Linked DNA regions of Oryctolagus cuniculus. The protein of the gene in region 1 purifies or fractionates together with the protein of each later gene. This does not show direct contact. Links are inferred from orthologs where the notes say so. Each region holds a gene or a part of one and is shown on either strand. Other genes may lie near its edges. The genes, in order: ANKLE2 and PPP2CB.

Region 1 (15,745 bases):
CACTAATGATTCTCCACTGAGTCTGTTTCCTGTGACAAGTACTTTGTTCCACTACCTAAGTCTGATGTGGAGACTAAATGCAAACACATCTCAGTTTGCCTCGAGAGCTGTGACAGATTGCCGGGGAGCCAGCACTTTTTGATTCCATTCACAGCAGTTTATTCAACAGTCTGAGCTGTGTTCCTCCAGTCCTTGCTTCCTGCAGTCGTCCATGGAGGCATTCTCACAGCCAGGTCTAGAAGCCTGTAGGTTTTTTGTTTTGTTTTTGGCAAGAGCTTCCTCCCAGCCCCACCCACCCACCGCCGGCCATGCAAGGTCTCCCCCCCCACCCCGCGGCCATGCACAGTCTCCCTGGCCCCTCCCCGGCCATGCACGGTCTCCCTGCCCCCCACCCCCACCCCGGCCATGCACGGTCTCCCTGCCCCCCACCCCCACCCCGGCCATGCACGGTCTCCCTGCCTCCTCTGGCACCTCCAGTGCTGCAGCAGCAGCGTGGTCACACCACAGACAGCTCCTGTCATTCCTCTGCCCACACATTGCTGTGACCAGCAGGAAACTGGCCTCACAATCCATTTGCCACCTTCCACTTGCTTTGAATCTCGATTCCCAACCTGCTCTCCCCCTCTTCTGCGGAGGGAGATCCATAGGAAATATCAGTGCTTCCCACTCAATCACCGGGACTCGTGTGGGCCCTGGATCAGAAACTGAAGACATCAGGACTGGGCACGCACTCCCATGCAGCTGGCACAACCCAGGAATGCAGCCATCACTGCTGCCTCTTGAGTGTGCAAGAGCAGGAAAGCTAAACACTAAACCCAGACGCCCTGATGCGTGATGCAGGCCTCTTACCCAGGCACTCCCTAACCGCTAGGCTACACGCCTGCCCCACCCCGTCATTTCCCATTTTTAATCTTCAGTTGTTCCAATATGATTGGCATTGGATGGGGGTGAGGACCCCGCGCTGCCAGGAACCCCGTGTGAAGACACAAATCAGGGCCAGCGCCATGGCTCACTTGGCTAATTCTCTGCCTGCAGCGCCAGCATCCCACATGGGTGCCAGGTTCTAGTCCCGGTTGCCCCTCTTCCAGGCCAGCTCTCTGCTGTGGCCCGGGAGTGCAGTGGAGGATGGCCCAAGTGCTTGGGCCCTGCACCCCATGGGAGACCAGGAGAAGCACCTGGCTCCTGCCTTCGGATCAGCGCAGCGCCGGCCGTAGTGGCCATTGGGGAAGTGGACCAACGCAGGGAAGACCTTTCTTTCTGTCTCTCTGTCTATAACTCTACCTGTCAAAAACAAACAAACAAACACACAAATCAGGCCAGTGAAGCTGCCATGTCAGAGATGCCAGCGCTCAGGAGCTGAAACAAGCTTGTCTCTCCTAGAACATGAAGACGGGACTGACCAGGGCAGCTTCCCAGTGCTGAGGACGTACACTCTACCCATCTCTGCTTAAACCGCAGTTCACGTGTGGCCCCAGGTCCCGCCTTCTGTCTGCATTCCCAAAGTGGGAAGAGTCAAGGACAGGTGTCAGCCAAGGGTGCAGCTCCGACTGCTGTCTGCAAGTCTCTGTTAGTAACACAGAGCATGGGCACTGGGTAGCATCAGTCTCCACACAAGACACCATCTTTAGAATCAACTCTTTCGGGGCCAGCGCTGTGGCATAGTGGGTAAAGCTGCCGCCTGTGGTGCCAGCATCCCATATGGCTGCTGGTTCATATCCCAGTGCTCCACTTCCAATCCAGCTCTCTGCTATGGCCTGGGAAAGCAGTAGACGATGGCCCTACTGCTTGGGCCCCTGCACCTGCATGGGAGACCTGGAGGAGGCTCCTGGCTCCGTATCGGCACAGCTCTGGCCATCACGGCCAACTGGGGAGTGGACCAGTAGATGGAAGACCCAACCCCCCCGCCTGTCTGCCTCTCCTTCTCGCCGTGTGTAACTCTTTCAAATAAATAAATAAATTTTTTTTCAAATAAATATTTTTTAAAAATCAATTCTTTCATAACTACTTGGATTTGTGACTCAGAGGAACCAGTGGATGGAAAAATCTCTCTCCTCTGTCATTTTGCCTCTCAAATTAACAAAATTAACTTTTTTTGTTCTAAGATTTATTTATGGCCGGCGCCGTGGCTCACTAGGCTAATCCTCCGCCTTGTGGCGCCGGCACACCGGGTTCTAGTCCCGGTCGGGGCGCCGGATTCTGTCCCGGTTGCCCCTCTTCCAGGCCAGCTCTCTGCTGTGGCCCGGGAGTGCAGTGGAGGATGGCCCAGGTGCTTGGGCCCTGCACCCCATGGGAGACCAGGAGAAGCACCTGGCTCCTGCCATCGGATCAGCGCGGTGCGCTGACCGCGGCGGCCATTGGAGGGTGAACCAACAGCAAAGGAAGACCTTTCTCTCAGTCTCTTTCTCTCACTGTCCATTCTGCCTGTCAAAAAAAAAAAAAAAAAAAAAGATTTATTTATTTATTTGAAAGAGTAACAGAGGGCAGAGGCAGAGAGATCTTCCATCTGCTGGTTCTCTCTCTAATGGCTGCAATCAACAGGGATGGGCCAGGCGAAAGCCAGGAACAAGGAGCTTCATCTGGGTGTCCCATGTGGGCGCAGGGGACCAAACACTTGGGCCATCTTCTGCTGCTTTCCCAGGCCATTAGCAGGGAGCTGGATCGGAAGTGGAGCAGCCGGGACTTGAACTGGTACCTATATGGTATGCCAGCACTACAGGCAGCAGCTTTACCCACTATGCCACAGCGCCAGCCCCAAATTGATTAATTTTTAAATAGTTTGTAAAAAAAAATAAAACAAAAAACATGGATTGTGAAAAAATTATGCATGGGCTGCAAAATTTTTTGCGTCCAAATAAATTACCCTAAAATCCCGTTTTCCACAAACTTTCTGAAGCAGCCGTGTATGTGTAGAACTTAAACGTATGTTTATAAAGGCTGCAGTAATGGGTACAGTTCACTAAGCCCTTGGCGTGTGGTGACTCCAGAGAAGGGTATGCCATGCATCGCCTCACTTCCAAGATAGGTTCTATTAGTGTTGCCATGATACCACTGAGACATTCATCCCACAGGTGCACAGACGGTGCCAGCACGGTGTCCCAAGCCCACGCTGGCACAAACCAGTCAAAAGTACATTTACTACAACCAACATCCCAAACACCACGGCTCCGCGACCCGGGCACTGCTCCCTCCTGCCAGCAGGCTGCTGGGGATGCTGGGGCGAGCCCTGCACTGTCCCTCGAAATTCCCGCCTCAAGGCGCACTCCGCCCTAGGCTGGAACACTGAAGTCAAACCAGTGTCCCGCGGCAAGCGGTCTACATTAGTACACTCGACAGGTGGTAAGGCCTCTACTTCTTAAAATGCAGGCATAATGTACACTACAAAGATACAGATTTAAGGACAGAGCTCGACGAGTTCAGACGAACGTGGACTCCAAGACAGGACGCCGCATGCCTAGCCCAGGCGGCCCTGTCGCCATGAGCTCTGCCCATCCTGGACCCACGCACACAGAACCACTGAATGTGCATGCTCTTGTGTTTGGCGTCTTTCGCTTGGTATGTTATGTGTGGTTTCTGAAAAGATTTATTCGAAAGGCAGAGTGACAGCGTGGGCTCCCATCTGTGGGTTTACTGGTTGTAGGTGGGCGAGCCAGGAGCTCCACCTGGGCCTCCCACAGCGGGTGGCAGGGGCTCAAGAACTTGAACCTCCATCTACTTCTTCCCAGCTGCATTAGCAGAAATCTGCATCAGAAGCAGAGCATGAGAGATGCAGGCATCCCAGGAGGCAGCTTCACACGCTGAGCCACGACACTCACTCCCGCGTGGGCACCATCACACAACTGCACGACCTGTTCATCCATCCTCCTGCTGTGAACCTGCGAGCAAATCTACAGTTCCATCTCCAAGCCTCCTGGGATGCAGAGCTGAGCCACAGGGCAACGGCCTCAGCCTGTCCAGGGTCCTGGGACAAGGCACCATAAACACAGCAAATGGACTGGGGCAAGCGCTGACACAGTGGGCCAGGCTGTTGCTGCAGATGCCTGCATTCCGCACGAGTGTGCCTGGTTCCAGTACTGGCTACTCCATACTTCCAATCTACAGCTTCTGGCTGACGTGCCTGGGAAGGCAGATGACGGCCCAGGCACTTGGGTTCCTGCCACTGCCCTGGGGGACGGAGACAGTTCCAGGCTCCTGGTGGGAGCCTGGCCCAGCCCTGGCTGCTGCAGCCATCTGGGGAGCAAACCAGCAGACAGAAGATGGCTCTCTCTCTGCCTTTTTCTAAATACACAGAACAACTTCTTACAGCTGTTCTGGGTAAGTCCAGCAGGCCTGGTGTCGCTGAGGGCCTGTTTTCTGGTCCAGAGATGGCACCTTGCTGTGTGCTGGGGTCTCTCTCGGGCCTCTTTTATGTGGGCACTAAACCTATTCATTAGGACTCTGCCCCATGACCTCATCACCTCGCACGGGTCCCATATCCCATGATCGTCCCCTTGGAGTTAGGATGCCAATGTGTGGATTTGGGGGAGGTTGTGGTGGGAGGAGACACAAACATTCAGTCCAAACCAAGGAGCTGCCTTACTGTTTCCCAAAGTGGCCAGCGCTTCTTCCGGTCCCCCCAGCAACGTGTGAGAACCCCGAAGCTGCTGCACACTCACAGAATCTGATACCGTCAGTCCCAGTTCCCGCCGTTCTGCTGGGTGGGAAGCAGGACTTCCTTGTGATTTTTTAAGACTTTATTTGTTTGAGAGGCAGAGTTAGAGGGAGCGACAGGGGTCTTCCATCCGCTGTTCATTCCCCAGACTGCCGGCGCCGAGCCGAGCCGAAGCCAGGAGTTTCCTCCGGGACATCAGCCGCAGGGGAAGGCCGAGCCCACCGCGCCACAGAGCCGGCCCCTCTGTGATTTTAACCCGCACTTCTCCGCTCCTCGGATGGACCGACCCTTCCTCCAGGTGCCCCGTGGCCTCCCAGTGCCACTCAATGGCTTTTTGTTAAACCAAGCACAAGTCTGTCTTTGGGGTCTTTTACTTAAGTAGTCTCCCAGCGTCGGCAAGCACACGGAACTGCGCACCCGGGACCGAGAACGGCGCACGCCAAACCACAGGCGAGGCCCGCAGAGTTGACGGGAAGCACCGCGTCCCCTGAGCGCAGACAGCCGCAAGCCACGAACGAACGGGCCACAGCCGCCGGCGGAGCGGCCTCGTCCGCGAGGCGGGAGCAGCTGCGGGGCACGGGGCCTGCGTGCGGCCCTCCGGGCAGCTTGCAGGGCAGACGGCACCTCCGTGCGGCCCGCGCTCGACCTCGGCCCCTGCCCCGCACCGCCCAGCCCCGCAGGCCTCCAGCGAGCCCTCCGGCCCGGCCTGTGGCCCCCGGGTCTCTGGAAATCGCCCGGCTCTCAGGACCTGGGCAGGCTCCCCGCACCGCCCGGCCGCCACGCTGCCCGCCACTTACCGGCCGCGGAGTTCCACGTCCGCGAGCCTGCGCCGCGCCCGAATCAGGACCCCTGCGGCCGGGCTGCCCGCACCAGTCCCTGACAGCGCGCTGGCCCGCCCCGCGTCGCCTGGGGTGGGGGCCGCAGCCGCGCCCCTCCGCTGGGCCCCTGGGGGAGGGGGCGGACGCCCGGCCCCGCAAGCGCCGGCCCCGCCTCGCGCCAGCCGCTCCCGCGCGCGGCGCCGCCAGGCAGTGGCGCGGACAGCCCGGCGCGCGCGGGCGACGCAGGACCCGGGCTCCTCGGCGGCGGCGGCGGCGGCGGCGGCTACGGCGATGCTGTGGCCGCGGCTGGCGGCGACCGAGTGGGCGGCGCTGGCCTGGGAGCTGCTGGGCGCCTCGGTGCTGCTCCTCGCGGTGCGCTGGCTGGTGCGGCGGCTGGAGAAGCGGCCACGGGGCCTGGACCGCAGCGGGACCCCGGCCCCGCAGCCCTGTGCGGCTGCCGCGCCGGACCCAGGTGAGTCGGGCCGGCCGGGTGGGCCCCGCGCCCCTCGCCCGCCTCCCGGCGTCTGGGTGCCGTGCTGGGAGCTCTTGGACCCGGGCTCCGCGCCCCTCGCCGCCGCCTCCTCCGTACCTACCCCTGGCGCGGGAAGAGCGGTTGGACCCGCCGCGCCGGAAGCCGGGCGGGCTCGCCTTGGAGAGGCCCCTGCGGCCACTGCGCGGGAGCCGGTGCGGAGAGCCGGGAGCGGCGTCCGCGCAGCCCGCAGGGCGCGGCGCGTGTAGCTGGGGTGTCGGCGCCGACCCGGGAGTGCTGCGTGGACGCGGGCGGCGGGAGTGAGGCGCTCTGAGCCAGGTCGCTGGTGGCCGGGAGCCGCGAGAGGCGCCAGGGCCTGGGCCGCAGGCTCGGTGCCCGCGCTCGCCGTGCACGTGGGGCTGTCGGGAGGCGGCTGCGTGACGCGTCCCCGGCTCTGCGAGGGCGCCTCAGCGCGCGGAAGGCGCGGGGAGCTCCGCGCGGGGGCAGGTGTCTAGGTGCGGGTGTGCGTTCAAAACGCGACTGCACCGAGAAACCCCTCCCCGTGCTCCTCCAGGGGGACAGGCGACAGCCCCTTCCGTGTTCGCGGGGGACGGGTAGCGAAACTCGCAGCCTAGGGCTTCGGGTTGTCCCGGAGGCTGAGGGAACAGCCCCCGCGGCTGGTGGGCGTCTTGCTGGGGTCGCGTGTGGCAGGCGCCAGGCCGGTGCAGCTTTCCTCCTGCTGAGTTTTGCCTTTTCTTGTCCCCTTGGGAAAGCTTTTGGCAGCGCCTTTACACTTTTATTGATTGGAAAGGCAGAGAAGCGAGAAGAGAGACATCCCGCTGATTCGTTCCCTACACGCCTGTCATAGCTAGGGCTGCGCCAGGTCAAAGCCAGGCCTCCCACACGGTGCAGGGCCCTACCTGCTGCTGCCAGCGTGCACAGTAGCAGGAAACTGGATTGGAAGCAGAGCTGGGACTTGAACCCAGGACTCCAGTATGGGATGCTGGCACCCCAAGCAGCAGCTGAACCCCTGCACTTCAATACCTGCCCCAGGCAGCACCCTGAAGAAACAGCACATTTGCTTGTCGTCTGCATCGTCAACAGCAGACGCAGACACGCAGACGCAGCGTGCAACGCCGGAGGCTGGCACTGAAGCCTGTTTGTTGGCTGGTAGGGAAGGCCCGAGACACAGGAGGCTGTGGGGGTTTTCCAATGAGAATTTCACTTTGACTTTTCATTTTGGAACCATAGGCTTATAACAGAGTGGAAGACTAGTGCAGAGAAAATAAACATATCTGAGAAGGTCTCTGGTGTCCTTCTTCTCTAAGGAAATACAGAATACAGCCACGATGAACTAGCACGCACACCTGTAGTAAAGGCTAAACTTTATTTATTTATTTTTGACAGGTAGAGTGGACAGTGAGAGAGAGAGACAGAGAGAAAGGTCTTCCTTTGCCGTTCGTTCACCCTCCAGTGGCTGCCGCGGCTGGCGCGCTGTGGCCGGCGCCCCTCGCTGATCCGAAGGCAGGAGCCAGGTACTTCTCCTGGTCTCCCATGGGGTGCAGGGCCCAAGCACTTGGGCCATCCTCCACTGCACTCCCTGGCCACAGCAGAGAGCTGGACTGGAAGAGGGGCAACCAGGGCAGAATCCAGTGCTCCTACCCGGACTAGAACCTGGTGTGCCGGCGCCGCAGGCAGAGGATTAAGGGCTAAACTTTAAATGTAGCGTATTTCCAGTCGGCAGAGTGCGTGAGTGGTGCAGCCCCTCTAGAAATCAGTCTGGCCATTTCTCAGAGAAGTTAAACCTGCCCTGCACTCCTGAGCTTTGTTGTAGAGAAATGAACATTTTTTTCACACGAAATCTCATATGTGCGTGTCACTCTAGGGGTGAATGGCTAAATAGACCCTGTTCCGACCACAAGTGCTACTCCTCAGGGTGGTTGGGGCTCAAGGGCCCAGTGCAGAGTGAGAAGGAGCAATACTGTAGGTGTGTACTGGATTCCGTTTGTATAGCATTCTTACAGTGAAAAATTATAGACAACAAATTTGTGGTTGCCAGGGGCTGGGGCCCATGGAGGAGATTGGGTGTCACTGTGAAGGGGCAGTAGGAGAGAGGTCTTTGTGGTGATGGACATTTCTGTGGTGATGGTCACACACACTGTCACAGAACTGGGCACAGATACACACACACTCACCCCTGTTAGAATGGCTCACATACAGAAATCAACTAACAACAGATGCTGGTGAGGATGTTGGGGAAAAGGCACACTAACCCACTGTTGGTGGGAATGCAAACTGGTCAAGCTGCAATGGAAGACGGTTTGGAGATTCCTCAGAAACCTGAATATAACCCCACCACACGACCCAGCCATCCCACTCTCCCGGAATTTACCCAAGGGAAATTAAATTGGCAAATAAAAGAACTGTCAGCACCTCAGTGTTTATTGCACTCAATTCACAATAGCTAAGACATGGAATCAGCCTAAATGCCCATCAACATAAGACTGGATAAAGTACACCATGGAATACTACACAGCACTAAAAAAAATGAAATCCAGTCATTTGCAACAAAATGGAGGAATCTGGAAAACGTCATGCTGAGTGAAATCAGCCAGTCCCAAAGGGACAAATATGTTCTCCCTGATCTGTGACAACTAACTGAGCACCTAAAAGGAAACCTGTAGAAGTGAAACTGACAGTATGAGAAGCAATTTGCCCGCAGCCCAGGAGGTTCAAGGTGTTGTGTCAGTGTCAGCTTCTTAAAGATTTTTGTTTTTTAAAATTTATTTACTTGATAGGCGTAGAGACAGGCAAAACAAAGAACTTCCAGTTCATTCCCCAAATGCCTGCAATGGCTGGACCAGACCAAAGCCAGGAGCTAGGAGCCAGGAATTCACTCCAGTATTCCTCCTGTGTGGTAGGGACCCAGGTGCATGAGCCGTCACCAGCTGTCTCTCAGAGGCATATCAACAGGAAGCTGGGTCAGAAGTGGAGACAGGACTGAGAGCCTCTGATACGGGAAGTGGGTGTCCCAAGTGGCGTCTTAACCTCGGAGCCGCAGGTTCATCCTGACACCTTTTCTTGACTCCCCAGTGAGGAGCTCGCTTTTGCTTCGCCCTCAGTGTACACAAGGGAGAGCTCAGAACTCCCGAGCCAGACTGCTGTGTGGAATGCATTGCTGGACTGTGGCAGGTCTGGTTAGCTTTGGGGTACCTGCTCACCTGCTGTTTCCAGAACTACTTAGAGGAATATCCACATACACTACCGTGTTACTCATATATACCAAGGTGCATGTTTTGGTTTGTATTGAGTTTATTTGATTTTTTTTTTTTTAAGATTTATTTATCTGAAAGGCAGAGTTACACAGAGGAGAGGCAGAGAGAGAGAGAGGTCCTCCATCCTCTGGTTCACTCCCTAAATGGCCACAACAGCTGGAGATGGGCTGATCCAAAGCCAGGAGCCAGGAGCTTCTTTTTGGTCTCCCACATGGGTGCAGGGGCCCAAGGACTTGGGCCATCTTCTGCTGCTTTCCCAGGCCATAGCAGAGAGCTGGATCAGAAGTGGAGCAGCTGGGACTCAAACTGGCTTCCATATGGGATGCTGGCACTGCAGGCACAGTGCTGGCCCTTTGATTTTTGAGTATATGAATTACCAACATGTTTCTGAAAGTCAGGACCCTAAAACACTTGCAGTCAAAAGTGCTGTTCCGGGGCCAGCACTGCGGCGCTCTAGGTTAATTCTCCGTCTGCGGCGCTGGTATCCCATGTGGGCAACGGATTCTGTCCCGGTTGCTCCTCTTCCAGTCCAGCTCTCTGCTGTGGCCTGGGAAGGCAGTGGAGGGTGGCCCAAGTGCTTGGGCTCCTGCACCCGCATGGGAGACCAGGAAGAAGCACCTGGCTCCTGGCTTCGGATCGGCACAGCGCCGGCCATTGAGGCCATTTGGGGAGTGGACCAACGGAGGGAAGACCTTTCTGTCTCTCTCTCTCTCTCACTGTCTAACTACCTGTCAAATAAATAAATGAAAATCTTAAAAATAAAAAAAGGTTGGCCGGCGCCGTGGCTCAATAGGCTAATCCTCCACCTTGCGGCGCCGGCACACCGGGTTCTAGTCCCGGTTGGGGCGCCGGATTCTGTCCCGGTTGCCCCTCTTCCAGGCCAGCTCTCTGCTATGGCCAGGGAGTGCAGTGGAGGATGGCCCAGGTGCTTGGGCCCTGCACCCCATGGGAGACCAGGAAAAAAGCACTTGTCTCCTGGCTCCTGCCAGGATCAGCGCGGTGCGCCGGCTGCAGCGGCGGCCATTGGAGGGTGAACCAACGGCAAAAGGAAGACCTTTCTCTCTGTCTCTCTCTCTCACTGTCCACTCTGCCTGTCAAAAAAAAAAAAAAAAAAAAAAAAAAAAAAAAATTAAAAAAAAATAAAAAAAGGTGCTGTTCCCCACACCTTTCTACTCCCAGTGTTCCCCAGACTGTTCTGCTTTGTCCTTGGCTTCCTTGTGTGCATGAAAGCAGGCTCTTCTGTTAATGATTACAAATACTGGAAACAGTGTACTTTTTAAAAGTTTCAACTTGACTTTCTAGCATATTAAATACTTATTCTCAGAGATTACTAAACCTGTGTTCCTGCGGTAGCTTAATAGCTGTAGTAGAGATTTACAAATAACTTGTCATGTCAGACACAGTGATACAGATTTGAATGTGTTTATTTTGACTGATTTCTCAAAGTAGAGTTATTATAGTGTGCACTTTATAGATGAGGAAAGAGAGTCTTAGCATTTACACGGTTTGATTCTGTTGTAACAGGGATTCCATGTATTTGTTCTGTTAGGGATCCCTCTCAAACCCAAGTTAAAGGGCTGGCCTTGGTATAAGGATGCCTGCTGCCCAGGAATGCTTGCTGGCGGGTCTGCTCCTGCTCACCTTGCCTGCAGCTGTGGGCGCCCTCTGCCTGCTCTGCCCCAGAGTCCTTAGAGCCTTCGTACCACTTCCCTACACCTAGCCAGAATTGGGCTTAGTGCTCACCCGGTCAGAATCTGGGGTCGTTAGGCCTCCCCTTCCAGTCCTTGGCAGCTTTATAGGGGACTGTGTAATACGTTCATTGTTTCAAAGATCAGTATCCCAGTTCAGATAATGAAGAGTCATTTTTAAAATCTTTGTGGAGTTGGCATTGTGTTACTCTGAAGTAACATATTTGATCTTTTCATTTCCTCCTATACAACTCCTAAATCCTTGAATCTTCAAGGCCGTGTCTTTTTCTGTATGCTAATGAGCTGACTGATGGCCTGCAGCCCCTGGGTAGCATCAGGATGGGTTCTGGGCTGGTCACAGTAAGGCCAGAGGGCTGGGACTTTCAGTGCCACCTCCCTGTAACCAGGGAGGGGAGAGGAGGGACTGCCAGTTGAGTCCATCACCAATGCCCATAGCTGGCTGGCCATGCCTGTACAATGAGAGTTTCTGATCTGCTCTGAGGAAGTTCCTGGAGATGGCCCTGGAGAGCCCAGGGAAGCTCCGTGCCCTGCCCTGTGTGCCTCCACCACTGGACTCTTCATCTGTATCTTTCATGATATCCTTTATAATAATAAATGGGTAAGCTGATAAGCTGCTCAGAAAAATTAATCAAATGCAAATGATATGCACAGCCTTGTATGTTGGCATTTTCTGGGGGAGCGTCTTGTTGGACTGAGCCTCCAGGGAGACAGTGCCGGCTGCAGAACTGACTGCTTGCTTTGTGTGTGGAAAAGACCCATATCGGTGATCACAGCAGCCTTCCTGTGACTGGTGCTGACAGAGCAGGAAAAATGCTTCAATATTCTTTCCTCCTGTATCCATGAGGAATTATAAAACATGCTTTTAAATTAAAAAAAAAAATACACAGAACTAGATGGGTGCCCCTCCCATGCACCTGGCACCAAGAAAATTTTTTTTTGGTTTTAATTTTTTTTAAGATGGCTTTATTTATTTGAAAGAGTTAGAGATAGAGGTCTTCCATCCTATGGTTCACTCCCAAATGACTGCAATGGCCAGGGCTGGTCCAGGCCGATCAAGGAGCCTGGAACTCCATCCAGGTGTCCGTGGGTTGCAGAGGCCCAAGCACTCGCACCATCTTCCACTGCCTTCCCCAGTACATTAACAGGGAGCTGGGTGCCATGTGGAGCAGCTGGGACTCAAAACCGTGCTCATATGGGATACCGGCCTCACAGACCCTGACTTAACCTACTCTGCAGTAATACCAGCCCCATAGCAGGTGATAATGTTGTAGATGCCCCGTGCCCTCTGTCTTGTGTCCTGCTGAAATTCAAAGCTAGCCCTGCATGTCCCGTTCCGTCATCATTATCGGTGAACACTTCTTAAACTCCTCTACTGTGGGGCCAGCGCTGTAGCATAGCAGTTAAAACTGCCAGCATCCCACATGGAATCCCAGCTGCCCCACTTCCGATCCAGCTCTCTGCTATGGCCTGGGAAAGCAGTGGAAGATGGCCCAAGTGCTTGGGCCCCTGCACACACATGGGAGACCTGGAAGAAGATCCTGGCTTCAGCCTGATCCATTCCCAGCTGTTGTGTCCTGTTGTGGAGTGAACCAACAGATGGAAGATCTCCCTCCCTCTCTCTAACTCTGACTTTCAAATAAATAAATCTTTAAAAAGAAAATAAATAGCCAGTGCTGGCATCCCGTATGGATGCTGGTTTAAGTGCCAGCTGCTCCACTTCCAATCCAGCTCCCTGCTAATGGCCTGGGTGCTTGGGCCCCTGCTACCCACATGGGATACATGGATGAAACTCCTGGCTTCAGCCCAGCCCAGCCATTGCAGCCATCTGAGGAGTGAACCAGCAGATAGAAGATCCCTCCCCTCCCCCTCTCTCCCTGTCTCCCTGTCTCTCTCCCTCTCTCTCTGTAATTCTGACTCTCAAATAAATAAATAAGCCTAAACAACAACAAACAAAAAAACAGCAACAACCCTCATTCCATGGGCTCTGTGTATGTGCTAGGTGCTTGTGAGTGGCTCTGCTGTTGAGTCTGGAAAAGAATTTCCCTCCTGGCCGGCGCCGCGGCTCACTAGGCTAATCCTCCACCTTGCGGCGCTGGCACACCGGGTTCTAGTCCCAGTTGGGGCACTGGATTCTGTCCCGGTTGCCCCTCTTCCAGGCCAGCTCTCTGCTGTGGCCAGGGAGTGCAGTGGAGGATGGCCCAAGTGCTTGGGCCCTGCACCTGCATGGGAGACCAGGATAAGCACCTGGCTCCTGCCTTCGGATCAGCGTGGTGCGCCGGCCGCAGCGCGGCGGCCATTGGAGGGTGAACCAACAGCAAAGGAAGACCTTTCTCTCTGTCTCTCTCTCTCACTGTCCACTCTGCCTGTTAAAAAAAAAAAAAAAAAAAGAATTTCCCTCCTTTTGTTCTTCTGACTCCTTCTTTCCCAGCATCTAGACTAGGAAAAGTGGGTGTTACCACAGGCCTGTGTTACAGTCCTTCCAGCCTCATCTCGGGTGTCTGATTGTCCTGTCGTTAGGGCCTCCCTGTTGCTGCAGCAGTAGTCTGTGCCCGCCTGTTCTACCTTCTCCCTAGTCCAGCTGGCCACACAAGCCTGTAGAGCAGGAGTAGGGGATGGCCGTAGAAGTCCGTGGAATCATTGGCCTAGCCAAGGCAACCACAGGTAGGGCTTGAAATGCAGTGAATTTATGGCAGGCTAGTTTTTAAGTTGAAAACTGTGTGTGGCCTTGAATGATGCCACACTGTAAATATACTCAAATGGCCCCTGCTGCATAGTGAATGGCATACGCTTAACCTGTACACTGATTAAAGGTGCAGCTGTGGTTCAGATCCACTTGATGTCTCTGTCACTTGGACAGACCACTTGGCCTGTCTGTGCTTCAGGATGTTCATCTGTAAGGTGGGGGCCGCGGCGCCCTGCCCACAGGGCTGTTGAGACCGTAGCGCTTGGAGCTGCTCAGCATCATAGAGCAGAATGTGCCAGGGTGTGTGCAGCCTCTCTGTGTAAATCTCTGCCTAGTTGCCCGTCTCTTTGTGGGGAAGAGTGCAAGTGTGTCTGGTTTCTAGAGTTAAGACTTCACAGATGCTGTCAGATGCCTCCCGTGGGACTTGTCCCAGATGACACGGCAGTCAGCCTCGGGTAAGTGTACCTGTAAAGCTGTGTGCTGAGAACGTAGTGTGGTGGTGACACGGACGGAAAAGGCTGTCAGGTTTTCCAGAGCAACCGGAAGCTGCTTTTCATAATTTTGTGCAGATTTTAGATGTGAAGACTTGGAAACCACGAGAAGTGCCAATAGACTGATTTTTGTTCCTTTCACCCTAGGTGAAACGACAATGGATGTGGTGTTGGCTCGATTGAAACTCCTGAACTCAGATGCCCTTAGAGAGGAAATTGTCAAAGCCGGATTGAAATGTGGACCCATCACATCAACCACAAGGTTCATTTTTGAGAAAAAACTGGCTCAAGCCTTACTCGGGCAAGGAACATCGCTCTCTTCCTTTCTTCCCAGCCACGAGGAGGCAGGTGCCACGGCCGTCAGCCAAGACACGCAGAGAACTCTGAAGTCTGCCGAAGAGAGCCTGCGTGAGCAAGCCAGTGTTCCTGAAGAGAGAGAGTTTGGTTATGGCGTGGGCTTGAACCCTCCCCAGGAGGACGCTGTGACATCCGCGAGCTGCTCGGTGCCCTTCTGTGCTGCAGCCCACATCAACACCCACAGAGCTGGTGTGCCAGCCACTAAGGAGCCACCTCTGTACTATGGGGTCTGCCCTGTGTACGAGGACCTCCCAGTGAGAAACGGTACTATGGCGTGGTCAGTGTTTCCTCACATGGGTGGTGCATGTACTGCAGAGGGAAAAGGTTTGGAAAATCAAAAACTATAGGTGAAAAAAAAGAAAAAATAATTTTTTAACATGTTAGCTATTTTCATCAGCCCGCAACAACCTGGGCTGACCCAAAGCCAGGAGCCTGGAATTCCACCCAGGTCTCTTATGTGGATGGCAGGGACCCAAGTACTTGGGTCATCGTCCAGTACCTTCCCAGGTACATTAGCAGGGCACTGGATCCAAGTCAGAGCAGCTGGGACTGGAACTGGGTCCCTTGTATGGCATGTGGCCATCCCAAGCAGTGGCTTAACCCACTGTGCCATGACTCCTGTCTTTCTTACTTTCTTGCTACTGTTTCCATAGTATGTATGTATGTATGTATGTATTTATATGACAGGTAGAGTTAGATAGTGAGAGAGAGAGAGACAGAGAGAAAGGTCCTTCCTCTGTTGGTTCACTCCCCAAAGGCCACCGCAGCCAGTGCTGCGCCAGTCTGAAGCCAGGAGCCAGGTGCCTCCTCCTGGTCTCCCACACGGGTGCAGAGGCTCAAGCACCTGGGCCATCCTCCACTGCCTTCCTAGGCCACAGCAGAGAGCTGGACTGGAAGAGGAGCAGCCGGGACTAGAGCCTGGTGCCCATATGGGATGCCAGCGCCGCAGGCAGAGGATTAACCAAGTGAGCCATGGCGCCATCCCCTCCATAGTTTTTTAGAATCTGTTTTTAAAATTATTTTTATTTAGATCTTTCATCTGTGTGGAGTGTATTTTTTAGTATGGTATAGTATCTTAGTTTATAAAACTATATAATATACAGATAATGCTGCTTGCACACACACCCCCACATGCCATCAAGCATGTGAGCATAGTTGTGTTCTTTTGCTTAATGATCAAACACTGGACGGTGTACATAGGAGTGGATCTGGTGGCTGGGGCAGACTTTTCAGTGAGGGAAGGGCTTGCTGCTCTCGGTCCTCTCTAATTTTCATTTGTTAATTTTCCCACCAGA
Region 2 (15,922 bases), on another chromosome or scaffold:
ATCCCCACCCTACACATTTTTGCCTACAGATGTAGGCCTGGAAGAGTACATACATATTTTACGTAAGGTGAAAATGTGCCTGCCAGTCTACAAATCATTATGTAGGTAAATAGGTATGCATCATGATCACTCATCTTTTTTTCAAAATGTGATTGGTCACACACAGCAAAATGTGTAGTAATGTTGCCTCCCCGTCTTGCTTGTTGCATTTTTCTTCCACTTTAAAAATGTAATTTCTTTTGGCCACAAGCAAGTAAAACAGGATTACAGAAATCAAAACAAGTCAGAGGTTTTTAAGATTAAATATATATATATATATAGAGAGAGAGAGAGAGAGAGAGAGAGAGAAAACATATAAAATATATAGGGACTTTAAACACTTGCATGTTGCATTTTAAAACTGCTATTCAAAGGAGGAAGGAATTTGGCCAAAAATGATGATTTTGCAGCAAAGAAGTAAAAAGCTTAACATGGAAATAAAATCCGTATCCCAAGTATACAGAACAGCTGACTGTGGTAATGACTGACATTGCTGCCCATGGAGACTTTATTGCCAACAACTTTAGCAACATAAATAAACTTAGAGACATAATGATGGTATCCCAGGCCAAGTGCTACTGGCAAAAATCTCATTAAAGAAATTCTCAAGAGATATTTCATGATGCTGAAAGCACAAAGGGAAAACACTGGAAGTTCATTCAAACTTGGAAAAAAGTAGGGCAATTCACAAATTCATACAAAGACGCATACTCCATCTTAAATATTATAAGACAAGCACTGTTCAAGGTACTCTGGGCAAGATTTTTTAAAAATAACAACTTAAAAAAAGATTTATTTATTTGAAAGGCAGAATTAAAGATCTTCTATCCACTGATTCACTCCCCAAATGGCCACAAAGGCCAGGGCTTGGCTGATCCAAAGCTAGGAGTCAGGAGCTTCATCTAGGCCTGAGACTAGGGGCAGGGGTCTAAGGACTTGGGCCACCTTTCACTGCTTCCCCAGGTGCATTAGCAGGGAGCTGGATCACAAGCGGAGCAGTTGGGACTCAACAGGTACCCACATGGGATGCTGGCTCCACAAGCAGCAGCTTTATCTGCTATGTCACAGCACCAGCCCCAGTAACTCATTTTTTAAAATTACCCACAAGGGCCAGCACTGTGGCATAGCGGGCTAAGCATCCGCCTGCAGCACCAGATTCCCCTTTGGGCACGGGTTCCTGTCCCAGCAGCTTTGCTTCTGATCCAGCTCTCCGCTGTGGCCTTGGAAAGCAGAAGATGGCCCAAGTGCTTAGGCCCCTGCACCCACGTGGGAGACCCGGAAGAGGCTCTTGGCTCAGGCTTCGGACTGACTCAGCTCTGGTCACTGTGGCAATTTGGGGAGTGCACCAACAGATGGAAGATCTTTCTCTGTCTGTAACTCTACCTCTTGATAAATGAATAAAATCTTCAAAAAATTACCCATAAAATAACAAAATAAAACATGGATAAATATATTAGAATCAGTGTGTATCATCAAATGGTATTTCTCAAAGTGCAAGCTATCTTCCTGGACCTGTCCAAGATATAGTCAGTCCTGTAGATAGAGTCAGGGAATGCAAATTTCATTTCCTTTCCAAGTGATTCTTACATTTAAATATTAAGGAAAAGATGGATGATTTGGCTACATAAAAATGCTAAAGCTAAAGCTTGTATAGTGAAAATTTGCAAAAACCCTGGTAAAGAATAAATGTTTTAAACTGGTTAAGTTCCAAAGAATGTACAGAATCAAGAAAAGACAAAATACAAAATTAAAATAAAAGAGGCCAACAGGTGGCACTGCAGGTAAAGCCACTGTCTGGGATGCCAGCATCCCATATGGGTGCTCACTCATGTCCGAGCTGCTGAACTTCTGACCAGTTCCCTGCTAATGTGCCTGGGAAAGCAGTGGAAGATGGCTCAAGTGTTTGGGTTCCTGATACCCACAAGGGAGTCCCCGATGAAGCTCCTGGTTTCAGCCTTGCCCAGTGCTGGCCACTTAGGTCATCTGGGGAGTAAACCAGTGGATGGAAGACCTCTCTTTTTTTTTTAAAGATTTATTTATTTGAAAGAGTTACAGAGAGGAGAGGCAGGGAGAGGCAGGGAGAGGCAGAGAGAGGCAGAGAGAGGCAGAGAGAGAGAGAGAGAGAGAGAGAGAGAGAGGGAGGGAGGGAGGGAGGGAGGGAGGGAGGGAGGTATTCCATCCGATAGTTTACTCCCCAATTGGCCACAATGTCTGGAGCTGCGCCGATCCCAAGCCAGGAGCCAGGAGCTTCTTCCAGGTCTCCCATGTGGGTGCAGGGACCCAAGGACTCGGGGCATCTTCCACTGCTTTCCCAGGCCATAGCAGAGAGCTGGATTGGAAGTGAAGCAGCCAGGTCTTGAACCAGGGCCCATATGGGATGCTGGCGCCGGCCCCTCTAACTCTTTCAAAATAAATCTTTTTAAAAAATTAAACCAAAGAAGCCAGCTCAATAAGGGGGAAAAAAAACTCACACACTGTACATAATCTATGATTCTGATAATAAATTCACCCATATTTTCTTTATAGTAATTTGGTATTATTTTTATCTATTAAGTTCTTATTACCTGTAATCTGTTATGAAATAAAAATCTGGTAGTGAAGAATTAACCCAACCCTTTGAATGTCACATCTTAAAAAGAGTGTCTCTGGGAGTCCAACCAGCAGACAGTGTAACAACTGGATTTATGAAGCTGGCTTTACATTATTTTTATATATAGAGAGAGGTAATTGTATTTATAATGCTAGGTCTCAGTTTGGAGAAACTGGAGACTAAAGACATCAGCCCCAGGGCTGGCACTGTGGCATAAAAGGCTAAGCCTCTGCTTGCAGTGCTGGCATCCCATACGGACGCTGGTTCAAGTAGTGTCTCCTCCACTTCTGATCCAGCTTCCTGCTAATGCATGTGGGAAACGTGGGAAAGCAGCAGAAGATGGCCCAAGTCCTTGGACTCCTGCACCCACGTGGGAGACCAGGAAGAAGCTCCTGGCTTCCACCTGGCCCAGTCCTGGCCGTTGTGGCCATCTGGGGAGTGACCCAGCAGATGGAAGATCTCTCTCTCTGCATCTATAAACCTTAAAAAAAAAAAAAAAAAAAAAAAAAAAAATTAACTCCTCCTGGATTCTGCTCAAAGTGTCTCTTCCCTTGTGCAATTAAAAACTCAGGCTATAACTCAAATTGTATTTTAATTCTTTCAATCAAAAAAGTATCTCTGTCAAATACTAAGTTTACAAAGAATGATAAAACGCCCCAGTTTACAAAAGACACAACAAATCAAGCCTGGACTTGAGTTTCTCATTCCCTAGAAAGGAAAATTCCATGTGTAATGTACAGACAGCCTTCTCAGGGCTAATTATTAAAGAAATTCGGGCTTGAAAGTAATGTGCAGGGGGTCTGGTGCTGTGGCATAGAAGGTTTTGAGCTTCCACCTGCAGTGTTGGCATCCCATATGGGCAAGGGTTCAAGTCCCACTGCTCCATTTCCAATCTAGCCTCCTGCTAATGCGCCTGGGAAAGCAGCAGAAGACAACCCAGGTGCTTGGGCCCCTGCACCCACATGGGAGATCTGGAAGAAGCTCCTGGCTCCTGGTTTCTGCCTGGCTTATCCCCAAACCTTGTGGTCATTTGGGGAGTGAACCAGCGGGTAGATCTCTCTCCCCCCTTCTCTCTGTATCTGTGCCTTTCAAATAAATAAATAAATCTAAAAAATTAAAAAAAAGTAATGTGCAGGAAGTATTAGGTAACAATCAACTATTCAGGGATAGCGAGTGTGAAAGAAGTCATCACATGAGTTACCTTTAGATTAGGGTTATATTTCATTACATTTACTGGAAGGAGAACTTACAAGTGAATCAGTTCAAAACAACTGAAAATTCCTATTTAATCTAATGTGAACTCACATTTTTCATACATATTTGATTAAACGTGTGGTTTTAATACCATTTTCTTAGGAAAAAATAAATTTCGAAAACAGAATTCGCAAAAATAAAGTGAGCACTAGTTTTTTTTTTTTTTTTTTTTTTTGGACAGGCAGAGTGGACAGGGAGAGAGAGAGAGACAGAGAGAAAGGTCTTCCTTTGCTGTTGGTTCACCCTCCAATGGCTGCTGCGGCCGGCGCACCGCGCTGATCCGATGGCAGGAGCCAGGTACTTCTGGTCTCCCATGTGGGTGCAGGGCCCAAGCACTTGGGCCATCCTCCACTGCACTCCCTGGCCACAGCAGAGAGCTGGCCTGGAAGAGGGGCAACCGGGACAGAATCCGGCATCCCGACCGGTACTAGAACCCGGTGTGCCGGCGCCGCAAGGCGGAGGATTAGCCTAGTGAGCTGCGGTGCCGGCCTATGAGCACTAGTTTTGTCTTCAATTTCTGGCATTTTGGTTTTCTGTCAAAGAACTTCATTTGCCAAGTTATTCATAGCATTTGTCCTGAAGAAAAGGCCGAAAGAAAATTTTCTGCAGAATCTTTGTATTACAATGAAAAGTATATATGACAAATAAAACTTAAATAAAAAGAAACTTTAAAATATACACATCTTTAGTTTATCGACCTATGTGCATGATTTTACACATCACACATGGTCCAGAAATGAGGTGATTTAACAAAGTCTGTTTCCTAGTCATTAGCAATACTTAATGTCAGTCTAGTCTGGATTAGTATCTTAACCTGTCTGCTAAAGCAGTTGGCTTAGATAGCATGAAATCATTTTGTTCAGTCAGTAGAACTGGGTCTCAACCTTGTATTCCACTGCAATCATGGCATTCTTTGTTATAGAAAGAAAGGAGCTGTTTTCTACATCACTGCATTTCAGACTTTGTCAATGGACCACCAAGGCTGGCATTAATCTTTGTTAGAGGGAAAATTAAAAATGAAAGTACTGATTAGGCTTTTTCAAGATCATTATTGTTCTTAAGCTGAACCTATCACAAAGAATAACCTAAAAGATTTTTCTCGACTAACAAAACCAGTTCATTTTTACCAGTTCATTTTTCATTAAGATGGTTTTGGGCATTCAGGAATTTAAGTATACCATTTCACATTAAGAACGAAGTAACATGCTGAAGGTATTTTCACTTATTTCAAGGCCAGAACCCAGAAACATATCCATCAGTCCATATTCATCTCCTGCACAAGCCTCAATGTTTTCCTCAGCAGCTTTTATAATTAGATCTGCCAGCACACAAACTAGCTCATTTTCCCTGCCCACCTAGAGAATCATAATCAGGGTTCTTCAGTCATAGCATTTACCAGGACAAAGAGCCTAAGACTTTTTACTCTTTTATTTTTAAACTTTTACTCTTCTGGACACAACAGTTAGATACAGTTCTCATCACAGAATGTCCTTAACAGCACCAGATCAGTTGTAAAATTCCTGTGCATACTGCTGTGACAACAATGAATCACACACCCAATTTCTCTGCAGACATTAGGGATGTCAAATTCACGATCAGCTTCCAAAGCTGGCTTACTAATTAGGTGTTACTAGCTAGTCTTCTCAGAAGATATGCCTTACTATTTTATGCAGTGTTTTACTACACAGGAAGTAACCTCAGATGCAGACACACCACACTATCCCACTATTTTTTGTGGTCATTTGCCCACTGGCACTACAATGGATTTTCTTTCTTCCACTACCCCACAATAGGCCTTTACTAGTACTCCTTTGGTCTTGAGGTCAGCTGACTCCTTGTTTTAAGGCAATCTGATTTAGAAAAGGAAATTAATCCTAACTGAAAAACCATCACCATAGAGTGTAACTTCCTATATAGTATTTCCAATAGAATAAAAAAGTAATAAAAAGTTAAACTAAAATCTAGTTGCAAGGAATTAAAGATGACACTCATCTCAGAATTTTGTGCTTCAGATAACGAGGACACTAATTTTCAGGGTCCTATAGCCACTGTACATACATTCCCCTTTGATTCACCACAGAAGTGGTATCTATTTATTTTGCACTTATTTCCTAAAGAAAATGATAAGGCATTTAACACAAGATCCACATTTTTAGCTTTCCCTCATTTAACACTCACTGACTTTTACTTTTTGTCAGGACGTCACATGGGGTACTTATTTAAAAAAAAATTATTTATTTGAAAGGCAGAGTGAGTGAGTGAGAGAGAGAGAGAGAGATGGCTCCCATCCACTAGTTCACTCTCTGAATGGCTGCAACCATCAAGGATGGGCCAAGCCCAAGCCAGAAGCCCTGTGGAACCAGTGCTGATATGGATGCCAGCTTCACAAGAGGCAGCTTAAACCCTCTATGTCTCAATGTCGGCCCCACACACGGGCACCATCTTAATATAATCAGTTCAAGAGATCAGTGAATATGATCCCTGCCTGGCAGGTAAGAAGTCAAAGGTGCCAGATGGGCAGCTAGCAAGTGGAGCACAATTTGAATCCAGACGGGTGGAACGCTACACCTGTTATTAACAACAAGCATGAGGTAGGGATATAAAACCAGAACTAAGGACTACAGGTAGACCCTAGGTTAGTACCTAGTTGGTACTCTATATCCATAGAGATATATCCTCAGATTCAACCAACCAGAAATTATGATATGGGGGAAAAACTGCCTCTGTACTGAACACAGACATTCTATTTCTTATTCTCTAAAAACACAGTATAAAAACCATTTACATAATATTTTCATATCAGGTGTTACAACTTAGAGATGATTAAAAATATACAAGAGGGACCAGCGCCGTGGCTCACTTGGCTAATCCTCCACCTGCGGCACCAGCATCCAATATGGGCGCCGGGTTCTAGTCCCGGTTGTTCCTCTTCCAGTCCAGCTCTCTGCTGTGGCCCGGGAGGGCAGTGGAGGATGGCCCAAGTGCTTGGGCGCCTGCACCCGCGTGGGAGACCAGGAAGAAGCTCCTGGCTCCTGGCTTTGGATCGGCGCAGTGCCGGCCGTAGCAGCCATTTAGGGAGTGAACCAACGGAAGGAAGACCTTTCTCTCTCTAACTCTGTCAAAAAAAAAAAAAATATATATATATATATATATATACACAAGAGGAGGTATGTACATTACATGCAAACACTGCACATTTTATAAAAGGGACTTGAGCATGGGGACTTTTGGTATTCTTATAGGACCTGGACCAATCCAGCACAGATACGGAGGCACCACATATGCCACAAAAGTAAGCCATAGTTGCCAGAACAAGGCGGCTACACTGAGAGCTGCTGAACTACTGGCACTCTGCTCCACTGGCAACTCTATCAAAGTGCACAGAGCACAAACACAAATGCAAGGCGATCTTCACTTGAGCTTCACATTTTGTGGATAACTACAATCAAAGATAGAACAGGTCAACGCGTAAGTAAACTATAGCTGTAAGATCCTAGGTAGTTCAACTTATTTAGGAGGTGAAGTAAAAATAATCTCTCGATAAATACACAGTTTCCTGGCATGATTTAAGATTTGAGTGCAATTATCAATGTACTGGTAAAATAGTCTCCTCTAGGAAATTAAAATTATTAGAAAGTCAAAAAGAAAAACTGATTCAACTACCACTTTAGTCATAACTTCAAGTCTGTATCTGACGTTCACAGGGAGGTTAACCAATTCAGCTAATTACTCAAACTTGATGCTGGAGCTTGAGAGTTTAGTAAAGCGTAAATTGTAAGACCCATGAAATCACAGGTTTTCACACACACACACACACACACACACAAATGTGGAATGAAGGTACAAGCAAGCAGTTTGCTTCAGGAAGAGAAATATACCATTTCTGTGGCACTTCTATCTGCAGAAATAAATTCAAATTCACTTTTATCTGCAGAAATAATAACATGTAGTTATTCAATATGTAAGCTCCCTGGGCACTTGTTAAAAACAGTGGCTACCCCTCCATCCTTTAGTTGCATAATTTAAAAAGTGCCCTACTGGGGCCTGTGCTGTGATGTAACGGGTGACATCTTTACTTGATGACTGAGGCTGGTTGAGTCCTGGCTGCTCCACTTCTGATCCAGCTCCTTGCTAATATGCACCAGCGTGGGAAACCTGGAGGCGGCTCCTGGCTCGGGCAGGGCCCCCACCATTTGGCGAGTGAACCAGCAGATGAGAGATCTCTCTCTTCCTCTCTGTAACTTTGCCTTTCAAATAAATAAATCTGTCTTTTTTTTAAAAGTGCCCTACTAATAAGGCTTAAAAAATTACTTCCTCAGTGCTTTTCTGAGGTATGCGGGCTTTCAAACACATTTAAGAAAATAACCTAAAATAACCTCCTTACTCCAGTACCTCGTGGACTTCCAAGGGGACTTTCCAACATACGAATACATGAAAACTAATTAGTCCACAGCGCAAATGATGAATGAAGAACAACTGGAGGCTCTCAAGTACACCACCTGCACAGGTGAGAATTCCACGGGTTCACAAAACAATGGCTTCCGAATTCAGAAAGCTAAGACCAGACACCTGACAACAATGCACTGCCTGCAGGGTTTACCCCCGTTTGGGGACTGGAAACAACTTTCTGAAAAGTGCCACCCTGCATGACAACTCACAGGACGGGACTTTAAGAAATTTTTTTTTTTTGGTGTAAAAAACCGATTTTTAAATCCACGAGCAGTCTTTAATCCTTATAGGCATTTTCCACGAACTGTCCCCGAGCTCCGGCCTCGCGGCGCGGGTGCCGCCAATCCACGCGCGCCGTGCGGGGCGCCATCTGCGCGCACCTCTATTTTAAAAAAGCCACCGTCTGCCATCACGCCCACCGCTCCGGCGCGCGGGAGCAAGTTGGCCGACCCCGACGACGCGGGGTCGGGTCCCTCTCGGGCCGTCACGCCCGTTCCCGGCGGACACCCGAGTCGGCAGCGCGGGGGCGCGGGCACTGCCCCGAGCCGACTGCGGCGTCGGGGGCCGGCGCGGAGCCGCGGCCAGGCCGGGCAGGGGAGCCGCCGCCGCCGCCCAGCGCCCCGCGTTCCTCCCCGGCCGGCCCTCACCTTCTCGCACAGCGTCCGCACTTGGTTCTCGTTGAGCTGCTTACACTCGTTCAGCTGCTCGACCCACTGGTCCAGCTCCTTGGTGAACGTCTTGTCGTCCATGGCGGCCCGCTCCCCTCCCCCACCCGCCCCCGCCCCCGCCCCCGCCCCGGGCGCCGCTCCCCTCACCCGCCGCCGCCGCCGCCGCCAAGCCCCGAGCGGGACAGGAAGGAGCTGGGGAGGGTGGCCGCGGGCCCCGCACCCGGCTCAAGTCCAGCGGGCGGCTCCCCGAGGGCACCCCGCGTCCGTCCCCGCCCAGGGAGTCTGTGGGGGAAGCGGAAGGGTCGGGGTCGGGGGGGGGGTGGGGGAGCGCGGCGAGGACGCTCTGGACGCAGCTCCCGCCGGGCGATGGCCGCCCGCGACCGCTGCCGCCGCCCGCCGCCCTCTCCCGGCTCCGTAGCCCCTACCCTCTCGCCCTTTCTCTCCCCTCCCTGAGGGTTTCCGTCATCGCCCGGGCATTTCCGCCGGGAAGAGGCGAGCGGGCGGCGCCGCCGGGGCACGGCCGGCGAGGAGCGGAGCAGCGCCCTCGCGTGGCTCGGCGGAGAAACGGCCCTGGGGACCCGGGGTCGGGGGCGCCTGTCCGGTCCTCTTGCTTTCTCTGGTCTTTTCCTCCCAGCCTGGTCTTGGCTCCCCTGATTTCTTCCCCAACATCTTGTCCTAGGGCAACTTCGTGTTCACCTTAAGCTCCCGCAGTGCGTTTCCGCCGCTCTGGACAAGGAATTTTATTCTCCCCAGCGTCAGGCACTCTTCCGAAGCAGGCATTCAATTATTTACAGAATAAATTTCTTCTAGCCGGGTGTCTCGAACGCTCGCTTGCAATATCGGGAAGATGAAATGATTGTTTTGTGCGATCGTCTGGGTCGTTTCCAGCTCCAGCAGTGTTTACCGAGGTGTAATGATTTGGTCAACACGCTCTTGGTGCCGGCTGCCGGCTGCTGGCCAGGCACCTTGTCCGGCACATGCTAACCACCCACACTTCTTCCCTTAGAGATTCGCAGTGCTGGGCGGAACCCCAGAGGGAGGCGGCATCCTGGGTGAGAGGGCAAGTGTTCCTGACCTGGCAGTCGCCACACCTCCTCAAGCATCAGCTTCCCTTCTCAGGCTCTGAGAGTCAGAGGTTGAAAGTGCCTGTCCCGTGGTACACCATGGGAGCCATGTGTCTGTTGTTTTTACTGTCCTGGGGAACACTTTCAAAGAGCTTTAGAATGGGAGCATTTTGAACTGAATTATTAAAAAGCATTTATTTATTTTGAAAAAGTTGGAAAGGTAGAGAGAGATCTTCCACCCACTGGTTCACTCCTAGCTGGCCACAATAGCTGGCACTAGGCCAGGCTGAAGCCAGGAGCCAGGCACTACATCTGGGTCTCCCACATGGGTGGAAGGGGCCCAAGCGCTTGGGCCATCTGCTGCTGCTTTCCCCAGGTTCATGAGCAGGAAGCTGGATTGGAAGTGGAGCAGCCGGGACACCAACTGGCTCCCTGATGGAATGCTAGCATTGTAGGCAACAGCTTTAACCCGCTACACCACAATGCCTGCTCTGAATGTTAAGAGAGAACCCATCTGTTGGTTTTCTCCCCAAATGCCCTCAAACGGCCAGAGCTGGGCCACATAACAAGCCATAAGACAGGAACTCAATCTGGGTCTCCCACATGGGTGTCAGGGGCCCAAGTACTTGAGCCATCACTTGCTGCCTCCTAGTGTGCATTACTAGGAGGTTGGTACTGAACACAGGCACTCTGATATGGGCTGTAGCATACCAAGGTGGGGGGCTTAATTGCTATACCAAATGCCCACTCCCAACCTGAATTTTGAAACTTATCCTCCTCCAATCCCCCCCCCCCCCTCCGCAAAACCCTGAAGCTGCCTGGAGAACAGGAAAGAAGTTTTAAGGAATCTGTGTGTGTGTGTGTACCAGAGGACAGATGTACCCAAGACCACTGTCTGTCTGCAAAGCTGTAAATACTCCCAGCAACACAAATAGGTCACATGGTGGGAAATGAGGCTGGAAGGGTTCTTGCTTTCAAGCAACTTGTAAAAGGTAGCAAACCAATGGAGCGATGAGCAGATGCTGGAAAGGTGGGGTACCTGGACAATCGTAGTAGACATTGCTCGCTCTCCGGAGGCTGAAGTTCACCTAAACCTGAAAAGCAGACTGAGAATATTTCTGGAATTCCTACAGTAGATGGGCTGAGAACAGAAAATGTACCCTGAAGAGAAATGGAAACTATAGATGGTGGTTAGAGAGGAAGATGGGTGAAATAGAAGCAAGTGTGTTTGGAATTAATCTGCGACAATGTTCTTGGAGTTGGGGGGGTGCTTAGGTGAACTTGTGAAAATAATACTTCCAGAATGTTTAATCAAATAGTGCTGAAGAATAAATCAGGATGCTTTTTTGGAGCATTTTTCTTTTTTTAAGATTATTTATTTATTTGAAAGGCAGAGTCCCAGAGAGGCAGAAGCAGAGAGAGAGAGAGAGAGAGAGAGAGAGAGAGAAGAGAGAGAGAGAGAGAGAGAGAGTGATCTTCCATCCATTGGTTTACTCCTTAGATGGCCACAACAGCCAGAGCTGCACATATCTGAAGCCAGGAGTCAGGAACTTCCTCTGGGTCTCCCACGAGGGTGCAGGGGCCCAAGCACTTGGGAAATTTTCGACTGCTTTCCCAGGCCACAGCAGAGAGCTGGATCAGAAGTGGAGCAGCCGGGACTCGAACCAGCACCCACATGGGATGCCGGCACTGCAGGCGGTGGCTTTACTTGCTATGCCACAGCGTTGGCCCCTGGAGCACTTTCTATATACTGTGTATTTAATATGTATGTTCTCATTTAAATACTCCAATAAGCCTGTGAGGCAGGTGTTGCTATCCTGCATTTGATAGATAAGAGAACCAACATGCAAAGGTATGAAAACGTGTTCAAGTCACACAAACAGTACTGGTGGAGTAGACTTGACACCGTGTCTGTCAGTCTGACATCCACGTCCATGCTTAAAAATGGCCTCTTTAGTATGGGCGGGAGCAAGAAAAGCCAAGGGTGGCAGAGTGACAAAGGCTTGATCTTTGCCACATCAGTTTTCACTCTTTCCTTTGTGAAGTCATCATAATTAAAACCAGAAGCTAGAGGAATGGGCACTGTGGCTCAGTGGGCTAAGGCACTGTGTGGAACACCCTGCATTCTATATTTGAGTGCTGGTTCGAGTCTCAGCCACTCCAATTCTGATCCAGCATCCTGGGAGGTATGAGACCTGGGTGTAGTTCCTGGTTCCCGGCTAGGACTAGGGCCAGCCCTTGCTAATTGCAGGCATTTGGGGAATGAGCCAGTGATGGAAGATACTTTCTCTCTCTCTCTCTCTCTCTCTCTCTCTCTCTCTCTATCTCTCTCTCTCTCTCTCTGTCACTCTGCCTTTCACGCAGATGAAAATCAGTCAATAAAAATGGAAACTAGAATTCTTTGTTTTCTTTGTTCTTTGTTTTTACATATGTACGCACATATTAGGGTGTATTTTTAAAATCTTTTTAAAGATGTATTTATTTATTTGAAAGGCAGAATTATAGAGAGGCAGAGGCAGAGAGAGAGAGAGAGGTCTTCCATCTGCTGGTTCACTCCCCAGATAGCTGCAAGGGGCCAAAGCTAGGCTGATCCAAAGCCAGGAGCCAGGAGCTTCTTCCCGGTCTCCCATATGGGTGCAGGGGCCCAAGGACTTGGACCATCTTCCCAGGCCAGAGCAGAGAGCTGTATTGAAAGTGGAGCAGCCAGGATTTGAACCAGCGCCCATATGGGATGCTGGCACTGCAGGCGGCGGCTTTAACCGCTATACCATAGCTCCGGCCCCTGTGTTTGTGTTTACAGAACACAGTCATCAGTTCCCAGTCCTTGCTAATTACTTGGCATATAGGTTTCCTGTTTCCAACTATAAAAAATTACTTGCCATATAAAACCGTATTTAATCTTAGATTTGTAGGCCAGTTTCAAGTTTTTTGTTCTCTAGAAGTGGTTTCATTTTTACTCTGTTTACCTTTCTCCTCTTGGCCAAAGATTTTTAAAATTGTTGACTTCAGCAAATCCTTTGCTTTAAAATTTATTACATGTTAAGATTTTATTCCTACACAGTTCATTAGGCTGCTTTTAATGTATATATAAATGTTGGTATTTTTCTTGGTGTACTACACCATCTAAAAATATGAACTGTGGAGCCAGCATTGTGGCATAGCAGGTAAAGCCACCACTTGTGATGTGTGGTGTCCCATATGGGCACCAGTTTCTGTCTCAGTTGCTCCGCTTCCCATACAGTTCCCTGCTAATAGCCTGGGAAAAACAATGGAAGATGGTCTACATGTTTGGGCCCCTGCTGCCCATGTGGGAGACCTGGTTGAAGTTCCTAGCTTTGGCTTGGCCCAGCCCTGGCCTTTGTAGCTATCTGGGGAGTAAACCAGGAGATGGAAGCTTTCTCTGTTTCTACCTCTCTCCAACTCTGGCTTTCAAGTAAATAAATAAAAATCTTTTTTAAAAAGTAAGAATATGAAATGTGAATCATATCTTTTAATGTACACAGTTATATTCTACAGTAAAATTATACCTTATTTTAAAAAATATATTTATTTGAAAGGCAGAGATACGGAGAGAGAAGAAAGATATTTTCCATCCACTGGTTCACTGAAAGTGTAATAGCAAGATGCCCCATTTATTGTGTGTGTGTGTGTGTTTTTTTTTTGTTGTTTTTTTTTTTTGTTTTTGTTTTTTTTTTTTTGTTTTACAGGCAGAGTGGACAGTGAGAGAGAGAGACAGAGAGAAAGGTCTTCCTTTTTGCCATTGGTTCACCGTCCAATGGCTGCCTTGGCCACCGCGCTGCGGCCGGCGCACTGTGCTGATCCGAAGGCAGGAGCCAGTACTTTTCCTGGTCTCCCATGGGGTGCAGGGCCCAAGGACTTGGGCCATCCTCCACTGCACTCCCGGGCCACAGCAGAGAGCTGGCCTGGAAGAGGGGCAACCGGGACAGAATCCGGCGCCCCGACCGGGACTAGAACCCGGTGTGCCGGCGCTGCAAGGCGGCGGATTAGTCTATTGAGCCACGACGCCGGCTCCATTTATTGTTGTTTGAAAAGATTTACTTATTTGAGAGAGAAAGGCTTTCATCCACTGGTTCACTCCCCAGATGGCTGCAATGGCTGAGGCAGGGCCAGAATAAGCCAGGAGCCTGGAACTCCATCTGGGTCCCCTGCATGGGTGGCAGGGGCCCAAGCACTCGGACTATCTTTCACTGCTTTCCCAGGTGCATCACCAGGAAGCCGGATCAGAAGTGGAGCAACTGGGGCTCGAATTCTAATACAGGATGCTGGGGCCACGGGCAGTAGCTCAACCCACTGAGCCACAGTGCCAGCCCCACGAGGCCCCATTTGTTTGGCTTGTGATGAGGCTCCGTCACATCGTAGGGGACGGCATCGTGGTGGGAGTGAGAGAGAGCCAGGAAGCCAGAGCGCAGGGATGGGTCAGGCCTGCTTTTTTTGTAACAATCCAATCAAGCTCTCACGACAACCACTTTGATCTCTTCCATGGGCAGCACCACTAACAGCCTAAGCTCCTCGGACCAGGCCCAGCTCCTGGAGGTCCCACCACCTCAGCACCAGCACTTGGGACCAAGCCTCCAGCACATGAATCCTTGGGGGACAAACTGAAGCCATCCCTAAGCCATCGCATGCTTTAATAGATTTTACTTAAACAGTTACTGTTCCCTCTCGTGCCCCGCACATTCTTGGTTCCATGACTTAATATTTACATCCACATGAAACTTTTTTCCCGCCTCCATGCACATAGAGACCTCTGATCTTCACAGACAAGCGTCAGAACTATTTTTTCCCATGCAGATCTTCCTCTTCCTCTGACACCAAAGGAACACAGACCTGCCTATTTTAAAATGTCGTACCACATCTCCTATCTGCTGGTTCACTCCAGTGCTGAGCCAGGCCGAAGCTAGGAGCCCACAACCCAGCCCAGGTCTCCCATGTACCAGGCCTCCTAGAGTGTGCACTAGCAGGAAGCTGGAATGGGAAGTGGAGCTGGTTTCACACTCAGGCACTCTGATAGGAGACGCAGCCTTCCTAAGCGGCATCTTAACCACTGTGCCAAATACCTGCCCCAACATCACATTTTTAATTCCAACTAATCCTAATATAGCCGAGATTTCTAGTTGTCTAGCAATGTGCACTTTACTTTTTTTAAATGAACAATTCTGTTTGGCGTGCAAAATGCCCACTTGAACATTGCCTAGGAGTGGGGATATGGCATTAATTCTGGTGAAGGGATGTAGGGAGAAGCAGCTGAGTAGGGCTTTGCAGGAAAGTGTGTTAAAGGGAGTAGACTCAAAAGGCTTATGCCTGGAACTCACTGTGGAGAGGATCACCGGAAAAAAGACTTGAGGCAAAAGGCCACATCTAGGGATGAGCAAGGAAGAAAACCTCCTGAGTGGGGTCCTGATGATACTGTGGAGCCAGACCAGTGGTGCTGGTATGTCTTCCTGCAGTCTTGTTATGAGAAAAAAAAATAGAACTCTTAATTGTTTATGCTACCTCTGCTGATTTTGTTATTATATCTAAACACGTGCCCAAAGGACTCAACTAGATACTATCCACTTTAAGCTTTGACTAAATGATAGCTGAAAAATAAGCATTTTTTGATGAATAGAGAGGTTGAGCATTGTTAATATATATTTAAATTTGTTTATATACATTTATTTAAAATTTATTTTTAATTTTATTTGTAAAACAAAGAGAGAAAAATAGAGACAAAGATCTTTCACTTGCCGGTTCACTCCCCAAATGCCTCGAACAGCTAGAGCTGGGCCAGGCCGAAGCCAGGAGACTGGAACCCAGTTCAGGCCTCTCACACAGGTGGCAGGGACCTAAGTACTTCA

The links.
Region 2: the proteins of ANKLE2 (region 1) and PPP2CB purify together in Homo sapiens (affinity purification with mass spectrometry; 4 studies listed by BioGRID and IntAct, counting the BioPlex papers as one, with this or other methods). This does not show direct contact. The link is inferred for Oryctolagus cuniculus from reciprocal best matches to the Homo sapiens genes ANKLE2 and PPP2CB.

What each region holds. Positions count from the first base shown.
Region 1 is NC_091452.1:809,038-824,782, forward strand, and holds the start of ANKLE2 (ankyrin repeat and LEM domain-containing protein 2), read left to right. Parts: upstream 1-5,712; 5' UTR 5,713-5,757; coding exon 5,758-5,938; intron 5,939-13,940; exon of another isoform or gene 13,941-14,035; coding exon of another isoform or gene 14,036-14,057; intron 14,058-14,240; coding exon 14,241-14,714; intron 14,715-15,744; coding exon 15,745-15,745. UniProt on the Homo sapiens protein: Involved in mitotic nuclear envelope reassembly by promoting dephosphorylation of BAF/BANF1 during mitotic exit.
Region 2 is NC_091433.1:80,845,726-80,861,647, forward strand, and holds the start of PPP2CB (serine/threonine-protein phosphatase 2A catalytic subunit beta isoform), read right to left. Parts: upstream 9,085-15,922; 5' UTR 9,082-9,084; coding exon 8,980-9,081; intron 8,322-8,979; exon of another isoform or gene 8,307-8,321; coding exon of another isoform or gene 8,268-8,306; intron 1-8,267.